Linked DNA regions of Ovis aries. The protein of the gene in region 2 purifies or fractionates together with the protein of the main gene of each other region. This does not show direct contact. Links are inferred from orthologs where the notes say so. Each region holds a gene or a part of one and is shown on either strand. Other genes may lie near its edges.

What was found. The genes of interacting proteins can lie anywhere in the genome.
Region 1: the proteins of PSMG2 (region 2) and PSMA2 purify together in Homo sapiens (affinity purification with mass spectrometry; 4 studies listed by BioGRID and IntAct, with this or other methods). This does not show direct contact. The link is inferred for Ovis aries from reciprocal best matches to the Homo sapiens genes PSMG2 and PSMA2.

Annotation. Positions count from the first base shown.
Region 1 is NC_056057.1:79,798,383-79,803,315, forward strand, and holds part of PSMA2 (proteasome subunit alpha type-2), read left to right. Parts: coding exon 1-24; intron 25-776; coding exon 777-858; intron 859-2,310; coding exon 2,311-2,384; intron 2,385-3,796; coding exon 3,797-3,854; intron 3,855-3,938; coding exon 3,939-4,055; 3' UTR 4,056-4,933.
Region 2 is NC_056076.1:43,562,843-43,568,501, forward strand, and holds the start of PSMG2 (proteasome assembly chaperone 2), read left to right. Parts: upstream 1-1,855; 5' UTR 1,856-1,877; coding exon 1,878-1,934; intron 1,935-4,427; coding exon 4,428-4,599; intron 4,600-5,659. Other genes in the region: CEP76 (centrosomal protein of 76 kDa), read right to left, coding at 626-781, 1,412-1,474. UniProt on the Homo sapiens protein: Chaperone protein which promotes assembly of the 20S proteasome as part of a heterodimer with PSMG1.

The DNA of each region.
Region 1 (4,933 bases), on a different chromosome or scaffold from region 2:
GATGCAGGAATACACCCAGTCAGGGTAAGCTGATTTTATTATTTGAAATGTGTCATGAATTAGGGGGGGAAAAAAATCATCTTACCTTTGTAAAAGTAGACATATTTCAGAAAAAAAAAAAAGAGGACTTAGTATTCCTGTATTTCCTTAATCAGTGAAGAAAACCACTATGAATGAATAGTTCTGATCTTAACTGGACCTGAAATATTTTCTTAAAGAGAAAGCAGAAATGTTTTCTTGCTGTTGATGTAACAGCAGAAAGCAGCTTCTAGATAAAGTCCTTTTGACAGTGATTAAAACATTTCTTTATGGGCAGGCAGTCATTGCTGCTTCCACATTTATCTTCTAGCTGGAAATGATTGTAAGCACTTGATGAAAGTAGTAACTGACACATCTGTATTCATTTTAATTCCAGTGTTCTTGAGTTTGGTTGTGAAAATGATGAGGTAATTACTGAAATGTAAAACCAGTGGAAAAGCTGCATTTGCTGAAATCTGCTATTTTATTAGGACATGAAGTGTTACCCACATTTATTAACCCCAATATTTGTATCAGTCTATTTACCAAAATGATCTGACTATTGTTCCTCAGTACCATAAAGAAAATTCATTTTGAATTGATTTGTTTAGAAAGGTGTTAAATGCTGTTTAAGGAACTCAGAAGTCTAATTCGGTGACCTGATAACTCGCTTTACTTGAGAGTATTAATAACTTCTTACATTAAGTTGACCTTAACACCATGAAGGTGCCGATTAATTTTCATTTCTCTTTGTTCAGTGGTGTTCGCCCATTTGGAGTTTCTTTACTTATCTGTGGTTGGAATGAGGGACGGCCATATTTATTTCAGTCAGATCCATCTGTAAGTACCATTAGATGTATTTGAGGAGTTTGTTAAAGTGCTCTTTGAGTACCTAATAGAAATAGAAGCCATAAAAACCTTACAAATTAGAGTATTTTCTCTTCCATTTGGGCTTTAGAAGTAATACATGTTCACTTGTACATTTAAAATGTTGATAACTTCATCTTCTGATAAGGAACCTCCTTTAGTTCTGCCCTCTGTTCTTCTGGCATGCTGATTAACTTCACATACTTAGAATGATTTGTTGAAGTAGTTGTTATCAAATCTCTGTAAATCTGTGGAATTCTTTTTAAAATTATGATTAAAGCTGATTTTAATTCTAAGTTCAGTTAAAACCTTTCTGGGAGTGGGCAGTGCCCTTTGCCATTAGTTTAATCTTGGGGTTGACTTGAAGTGACTCTTCTGCAGAAATATTGATGTTACTGTCATGACTGATGTTTTGCAAAATGAGTGAGTCGTCTGCTATAAAGCAGAAGATTGGTGTCTGGGTTGGCAGGTGTCTGGAGAAGCACCACTCCTCCACGTGTGTCTCACGTCTGTCACTCATGTTTACTGTGAGGAGACCCAGAAAAAAAGATTCACTATTAGAAACTGACCTTTCATAGTTTATAGATCATTAGGTAATGTCAGGTTTACTCGATGCACATCTTATACTCTAGCTTTGTAATTTGAAAAAGCAAAAATATTTAGGTTGTTAATTAAATCAGAAAAATTAAGTATTTGAGGAACTTTGACAGTGTCTGTTATCCCATATCTGAGCTTCTGAAGCTAAATGCCAAGTCCTCTTATCTTCTTTTCCTGAGAGTAGCAGAGCCGCCATCATGGGAATCCAGCTTTCATCTTTTGCCCTTTCCCCCTGTTATAGCTAAAAGTCACTTGTTTTCTTTTAAAATATGGTCTGTTGCTTTCAGTTTCTGTACATGTGTGCATATGTACTTTTTCAGTAGATGAGTCATATATGATGTGGTAGCTGTTTTTGTGTAACTTTAGATTACAAAAATCAACACCTTTGAAAATTTTTAGTGCAAAGCTGTGTCTTTTTAGTTTGTTCACCAATGGTCACCATTTTTCAGATAGATATGATTTTTAGAGCCTTTCAATCGTAGTAAGCTAAAATATTACTTTTGATTATTTGCTCTAAATTAACCTCGTTTCTTTTTTTCACATAAATTTTGTACAGTAAATTATACGTATTTGATGGGGTTTTGATGTATTAAATACCTGAGAAAATCATCAACACAATCAAGATGCTGTACCTCCAAAAGTTCTTCATGCCTCTTTGTTATCACATTGATTTATTTTGTGACATAGCTCATTGCATTCCAATAAATATTCTGAAACTCTTAGAGACAAATTATGGAACTGAGAAATAAATGTCAGAGTCATAAATAATTATATTAATGATTTAAAATGTGTGTTTTTGTTTTTGTTTCCTCTTCCTCTCCTGATTAGGGAGCTTACTTTGCCTGGAAAGCCACAGCAATGGGAAAGAACTATGTGAATGGGAAGACTTTCCTTGAGAAAAGGTAGATTTATAAAACTAGATTCATTACCACACTTACTCTACAGTCTTCAGCTCTCTGTAAATAATTTCATTAATTTATAAACAAATTTGTAGCATGACTGTAGTCAAGCCTAGCTACTGATAGAACAAACTTACTTGTCTGTACTTGGGCTCCTCAGCCTTCAACATATTAAGTGGTAGTATTCATTTCTTAAGGACTTCTCTTTCTACATTCTCATGTTTTCCTAAATGTTTTTTTTATTTTTTTTACTTCATTTTTTTCTACCATCTCAAAAAAAAAGAGACCATTGGATTTGGAGTAAAAAATTTGGGAAGAAAGTTTTTAAATGGTTTAAGTGATAACAGTTTGTATGTGTGCTCAGTCACTCAGTCATGACTGGTTCTTTGAGGACACGCCAGGCTCCTCTATCATTTTCATTTTGACAATTTCCAAAAAATATATATATATGGTGAACGCAAGTACCTGGTGTTGATGGTAGATTAAAGATGTGACATACGGGGCTTCCCTGGTGGTCTGGTGGTTAAGAATCCTTCTGCCAATGCAGGGGACACAAGTTTGATCCCTGGTCTGGGAGGATCCCACATGCTGCAAAGCAACTAAGCCCATGGGCTACAACTAGAGCCTGTGCTCCTCAATAGGAGAGTAGCACCTGCTCACCTCAACTAGAGAAAGCCCGCACATGGCTACGAAGACCCAGTGCAGCCAAATAGAAATTAAAAAACAAAAAAAGACGTGATGTATGTACTTGATAAAAAGTGGAATGATACATAAAAATCTGCCCCTGCCCAGCACAGCAGACTGCCCTCACTTAATTCCAGCTGTATTCTAGACTCGGCATTATTGTAGCCCACCAAAAAGTGTCCTATGTTTTGGATGGGAGGAGTCTGCAATTGATTTTAACCACCAAATGAACCTTTTCAGTACATTCTCAGATAATATTAATGCTAAGATTACTTAAAAATCTTAGACCTGGGATTACTTGGTAAGCTTAAATAATCTTAGGATCTTAAAGCACTTTATTTTTCATCTTACGTATTATTGGTGAGTCTTCCAAACGTTATGAAATTTTACTAGAGGTTTGATTTCTCCGCTTTATTTTTATAAATTGTTATAATATTGCCACCACATGCTGATCATATTAAAATACTTAAGGAAATTTCTTAAGTAAACTCGTGTTAGGGTTACACTCTTCATGATGTCAGGAATGCACCCTAAATAATTGTCAGTTTCTTATTTTGGGGACAGCTCAGTGAGGAGACTAGGAGAATTAATCTGTAACTTTTTATATTTTTAAGAATGTCTTATTAGATGTTTTAAAATCTTATGCTGTTGCTATCATTGTGTTTTCTTAGTCATGAATCATCTTAATAGTGCCATAAGTCATTGTTTTTCTTTAAAAAAAAATTCTTTAGATATAATGAAGATCTGGAACTTGAAGATGCCATTCATACAGCCATATTAACCCTAAAGGTTAGTTCAATATCTACTGATTGGATTTGTAGTGATTTTATAATTAACTGTTGAGAAAATTGACCTTTTCCCCTCCTTCATCAGGAAAGCTTTGAAGGGCAGATGACAGAAGATAATATTGAAGTTGGAATCTGCAACGAAGCCGGATTTAGGAGGCTTACCCCAACTGAAGTTAAGGATTATTTGGCTGCCATTGCATAATAATGCAAATAATGAAGTGACTGAAAATCCAGAATTTCAGATAACTTCTCTACTTAAACATGTTTAAAGTATGTTTTGTTTTGCAGACTTTTTGCATACTTATTTCTACATGGTTTGATGGACTGATGTTTTTAAAATGAGACTTATAAATCATAATAAACTCTTAAATTAACTTCCAGCTTTTTAGGAGTTAGTAAACTTTTAACATAGTTATATTTCCTGCTTTCCATCACAGTTGATTTCTGGAAACTACATTGAAAAGCAGAATGGTGAAATTGGTCTTTAATCTTCACACAGTTTGGATTAAGTCAAACTTTGTCATCTTCTTTACTGTCAGATGTTTTCTGCTTTAGGAAAGCAAAATCCTGATTTCAGTAAACACTGCTTTTGGAGCTGAGAGAATCTGTAGACTTTCATGGATTCTGAGGCAAGGTAGGAAGCATAGCTGTATTTCGGGCACCATTAGGTGTGGATCAGTGAAACCTAGGATGTTCTATGAGATTGCTCTGGAGCTGCCGAGAGTGCTAAGCCACAGTCTCCTATAGGAGATGTACCATGTAGATACATAAAAAACGGTGTGCTAGTTCCTGTTGACTTTTCCATCACTAGTACGTAAATGTATTTCAAAAGAGCCCCCTAGAGTCTACTAGATCTTTCTAACTCAAGGATGAACGTGAGTGCTGGAAATAAAATACTAATACTTAAATGTCAAAATTACGGCTTAAGTCTCTCCCTCATTCATGAAACCTCTGTAATCAGAACCTTCACTGCACTTTAAGACTTCCAACAGCAAGCTAATCATGGAATATCAGAACCCTGTTTCCATTATATGTGAAGGCATAGCACTTAAAGCTTTCTTTGTTTTTTTAAGGCATCGT
Region 2 (5,659 bases):
AAAAGGACGCTGGACTAAAATACTTATTCTCTGGTGTATTATGAAGCCCATCCAATTTCCACATTATGTTACCCAGGTATTGAGGTCACAGTCTCTCATTATTGCCTCACTTTCAAAAGACCTACTTACTAATTTGTGCAGAGAGGCATCACCTCACTACTGACCTATTTATATGAAAAGAGTTGAAAGTTCTTATGCAGACAATTAATTTCTTAAAGAAACAATCTGTTCATCTTAGAGAACACAGCACCAAACAATGTGTTTACTTCAATAATAAGCTTTGTGTAGAAAGATTTCAGGATATTAATTTAGAAAAAATACACTTGGAGTGAACTAATTTGACTAATATACACACTTAAAGTTTCAGACCTAGAGTATAAGAGAAAACTCTCACTGTAAAGGGAATAATTAGGTCCATAATTTCAGTTTCACTGATACATAATCCTACCCGCTCCACTCAAGGGTGAAGTAGCTCATTCCTGAGACACAGATATTACTAGACAAAATGGTCTTATTTAAAAAGTAGTTTCACTAAAGAGAGGCCCCAAATTGGACCCTAAGAGTGGTATTAAACATGAGAATGTACTTAAGACTCTCAAATGTCTTGCTCTAAGAGATTACTCACAGTAACAAAATTAAGTTCTTTCATCACATCATCAATGATTCCCCGGCGTTTAAGGGCTTTGATCAAATCTTCGGTTGATAGCTGTTGTTGATCAGGTGCCAATTCTTCCCGAATCGTCTCAGCAAGGATTTCTCTTATCCTGCCATGGACATCCATCTAGGTAGAAAACTCGCATTAGGACTTAAAACGTCATAGAGCAGTCAAAGATAGCCAACTAGCTAACATCTTTGCAAAATATTGACCACAAAATAATAATAATGAGAGAGTAGTTAAACTCAGGAAGGTTTCTCAAGTAACAGTGTGAGATTGTTACCGAAATTCACTGAGAATAAAGGTAAGGTTTTTTAAAGGAAAAAAACTTTAAGGATAAATATTTTTAACTCTAAAAATAAGCTCTAAGCTTATCTATTACATTTGCTAGCACTTCCCCACAAATAACACCCGACTGAAACCAGTCTTTTGAGACTAGAGCAGAGCAGCGGAGGAGCGACCAAAGGCCAAAAGTAAACTCTCTCAACCTTTTAGTTGTGGCCGAGGGTTAACGGAGTGACCCTTTACGCGTCTGGGGGAGGCGGCGGGGGTCAGGACCGCCGCGGGGCAGGGAGACGCTAACACTCGGCACGGGGCGGCGGCTGGAGCCCCGGCTGACCCCGAGGACCGACAGCCCCTCCGTGCCGCCTCCCATGAAGTGACGGCCTCCGGCCCCTCAGCCCTCTCCCCGCGTATCCGCGGTGCCCGCTGGCCCAGCCCCCGCCCGCCCGCCGCCTCACCGCCTCACCGCCTCACCTTGCTCAGCTGCTGGTGGATGAGCTGCTTCAGCTCGGACGCCTTTTCCGGCGGCAGCGACATGCTGGCCTCCCCGTCGGGCACGCCGGCGGCCGCAGCGTCTCCGCGGCGGAGCCAGAGCCCGCGACCGCTCGCCTCGCGCGCTCCGGGGGCGGCCGCGTCAGGCCGGCGGGGGAACCGGGCGGCTCCAACTGCTGTTTCCAAACGGCGGCGAGGCTGTCCCCGCGCCGCCTGTCAGTCACCTCGGCCGGCGCCCCGGCTCGTCTCCGCCCGCAGACTCCGCGCCTTGACCGCCAGCCTGTTCCCGCGCGCCGCCCCGGCCGCCACCCCCGCCCGCAGCCCCTCCCGCGCGCCGCCCCGGCAGGCAGTGGGACGGGCACCTAAGGACCCCGCGACCGGGGCCTCGAAGGACCCCAGGAGTCGCCCGCACTTCCGGCCGCCGGCTCCTTGTGCCGCCGGCGAAACCATGTTCGTACCCTCCGGGGACTCGGTCCCCGACCTCGCGGGGTGCACCCTCCTAATGGTGAGTCGGGGCAGGGGTCTGGCGTCAGAGCGGCCCCCGGACGCGCGCGAGTCTGTGGGGCCGGGTCCTGGTGGCTGTGAGCGAAATGTGCGGGGACGTGACCTTGCGCTCCGTTGGTGCCGTGTGGGCCACTCGCTGTACCTTCTTGGAAAATCTTTTCTCCGCGAGCTCTGTATCGCGCTTAAGCTGGGGAGTGATTGTCGTTAGTCAGGAAACTGCAGACGGGCTGGTAAAGACTTGGCGACAGCACGCGATTCTATCGCGGTTCATTCATTGCTTCAGTGAGCGTTGTGTTGTGTCAGTGTGTAACGGTAAAACCAGGTTCTGTGTCTCAAGGAGTTCGCAGTCTAGTTGGGAACACACGTAAATAAATAAAGTTAGAACGTTGAAAGGGGTACAGAAAGACCCGGGGATTTATTGGGAAGGGGAGGGATACAAAGATCTGTTAAGAAAAGCTTCGTATGTGGAATTAAAAAAAACACATAGAACAGATTGGATGAAAGGGGTCAAAAGTACAAACTTTTAGTCAAAAATAAGTCCTGGAATGTAATTTGCAACGTAGTAACTATAGTTAACACTGTGTTGTATGTTTGAAAGTAACAGAGTAGATCTTAAAATTCTCATCACAAGAAAAAATAATTTTTTGACTGAGTGGTGATGATCGTTAAGTAGACCTGTTGAGGTAATCATATTGCAATGTGTACAGACGTTCAATCACAATGTTGTGCACCTGAAACTAACATATATGTATCCGTTTTTAAAAGGACGATGGTAATAGAAAAGTCACTTTTCGACAGTTTTCATAATGAAAGCAAGAAATGTCAGTGGGGACTTCCCTCCTGGTCCAGTAACTAGTACTCTGCGCTTCCACTACAAGGGGCATGGGTTTGATCCCTTGTCGAGGAACTAAGGTCCTGCTTGTGGTGCGGCTCAGAGCAAAAAAAAAGTATCAGTGAATGATAGAAGCAGCTTTGATAGTGTACTGAGGAAGAAAATTTGACTTCATTTCAAAGTGTCTCTCTGAAAAATATTCGTTAATCACAAAAGGGAAAAAGTATTTTTGCAGGAGATACCTGGCAGAAAGAAAACGTCATAGAGAAAATAGTGTCCACAGGTTACTAGCAGTACCCTTGATGGTGAAGAGGGAAGCCATATTGGATTGAAGAAATGGGAGATGATGTGGAGATCTGTATGTTTGTGCTTTTGTTCCTGAATTCAGAGATAAAGTTCCTGCTTGTGTCTTAGTGGACAGACTGTAAGGAATTTGGGCTCTGGAGGGACACTGAGAAGTGACAGCGAGTTTTTCAGAAGGAAAGATTTTAGAGGGTGTGAATATGCTGATGGGAGAATCCAGTAGTGAGGAAGAAACGAACGATACCGGAGAGTGAGGGTCTAACCAAAGTAGCAAAAAAGGGAAAGGGAATTAAAGGAGGTAACCAGGGGATTGGTACGGGAGGGCCCAAAGTGGGAGGCTGCTCTGAAGGACCCATAGAGGCCAAAAACGAGCAGTTGCTAGAAGAGTGCAGAGGAGGAGGTATAGTGAAGAGAAACTTTGGAGACAGGATCAATGAAAATTAGTCCTGTCCTGCTGTGGCTGCTGAGGGGAAGGGAAGCAGGTCCCTGGTTTAGGTAACTGGGTGAGTAATTGTTGCTGTTTTCTGAAGTGCAAAGTAGGGAGCAGGTTGGGCAGATGCTTTGTTTTGTACCTGCTGGTTTTAACATAACTGTGTGGAGATAGCCATTAGGCTTTGGAGTTCAGGTGAGTGTTTGGGGTGTAGGTAGAGATGTGGTAGTTGGCTATTTGAAGTCATGAAAGAGAGAGTATGTGTGTGAGAGAGAGAGAAAGAGAGTGAGCGAGTGTGTGTGTGTGTGTGTGTGTGTGTGTGTGCGCAGCATGAAAAGAAGCTCCCTCCAATCTTTAGGCACTAACGAACCAAATGGAAAGAAGACCCACGAACTCTGTTGTTCATACCTCACAGCCTCCGCACCTGCTTTACCACTGCCTGACCTCATCATATCCCAAGTCTTGGTGTGACTGTCTCCCTTACCTTTCAGGGCTGTAGTTACTTGGCCACCTGAAGTGACTGTTTCCTTGACCACCCCTTTTGAACTTGCAGTCACCCATAAACACACACACCCTTACTGACTTAAATGTTTTCTATAGTACTTACTGCTATGTATTTTACTATCTATTTTGTTTGCCCCAGCAAACCACCCCCTCACTAGATGGAACTCCACAAGGGCAGGAACTCTGATCCATTTGTTTACTGCATCCTCAGTGCCCAGAACAGGGGTTGACACATAGCAGGTATTCAGTAAGTATGCAGTCAGTAGTCTCCAGGTGGAGCTAATGAAAAGCTCAGAACCCAGGTGTGATGCACCTGAGCATTGGCGTCCAGTACGTCCACTGTGACTGTCGTCTTCTGTCTAAACTTCTTAAAGTGCTGCTGATTTGGATAACTTAATGAACTTTTTTTTTTTTTACTGTTTCAGCCAGCAGTATCTGTTGGAAATGTTGGCCAGCTTGCAATAGATCTGATTATTTCCACACTGAATATGCATAAGATCGGTTACTTCTATACTGACTGTCTTGTGCCAATGGTTGGAAACAATCCATATGCAACTGCAGAAGAGAATTCAGCGGAGCTCAGTATAAATGCTGAAGGTGTGTTATATCCTTCCACAAGGCAGATTTGTGTCAAGTCACAGCCAGACTCTCCCTGGGTGTCCGTTGGTACCTGGAGTGGCTCTTTAGAATCCACAGCGGTGCCCTCCTCTCCTGCACACACCCTGGATTACAGCCCCCTCAAGAGATGTGCTTGTATTTGTACCCTTGGATAGAATGATTTTTAACATGGGGTTTCCCCCTCTTATCCTCAGTTTTACTTTCTGTCCTCCTGGCACGTGTAAGCATTGCTAACACTGGGCTCAGGCCTATGTGTTTAATGTGCAGCGCCCCATGCAGGCTGAAGTCATCTGTCACACAGTGGTAGCATTCATCGTAATGCACACTGACCCGGCTCAGAGAGGCAAGTCACTTGACTGCAGGAGGCCTAGGCCCTTCCCACGCCACCCATCTCCACAGTTCCCTGCTGTGCTGTCAGTTGGGGTTAGTCAGGGCTCGCAGCGTACAGACCAACCACTGTGTTCCTCTGGCCTCTGTATTTTCTGAAACTGGACTTAGTCTTAAAGCCTTGATTATTTAGAAGCTAAATATTTTTGACCAGAATACGTGACAGGTGATGTTATATCACATGAGCAAGGTGCTAGGAAACAGGATCTTACCAACAAAACAAGATGTGCATGAAGCTCTGGTGGAAAGCAGGAGTGCTGCTGCTGCTGCAGAAGTGAGGCGTCATGGACGTCATCTCAGCCTGCCCACTTCCCTGGTTCCTGAGCTTCCAGCTCTAGCCTACTTTGTCCCAAACACGCCTGGTGGTCAGCACCCTTGCTGATGGATGCTGCATGGTCCCAGTCACCCCACACACACCAGTGCAGTGAGATGATCCCAACAGACCTATAGAATGGGAAAGACATGACCCACCAGACACAGTGCCTGAGTCTCGGGTTGTCTGTGATGTTTACAGTGACTGAAAGCTTAACCCTGGCACAGAGGCCTAATCACATGTTCTCGGAGACTCTGTATTTTGTTCTCGGGTCATTTCAGGGCTTCTCATTCTTGGAGGTAAACTTGGGCAGGGCCTCCTAAGCATCAGTAAAGTGGG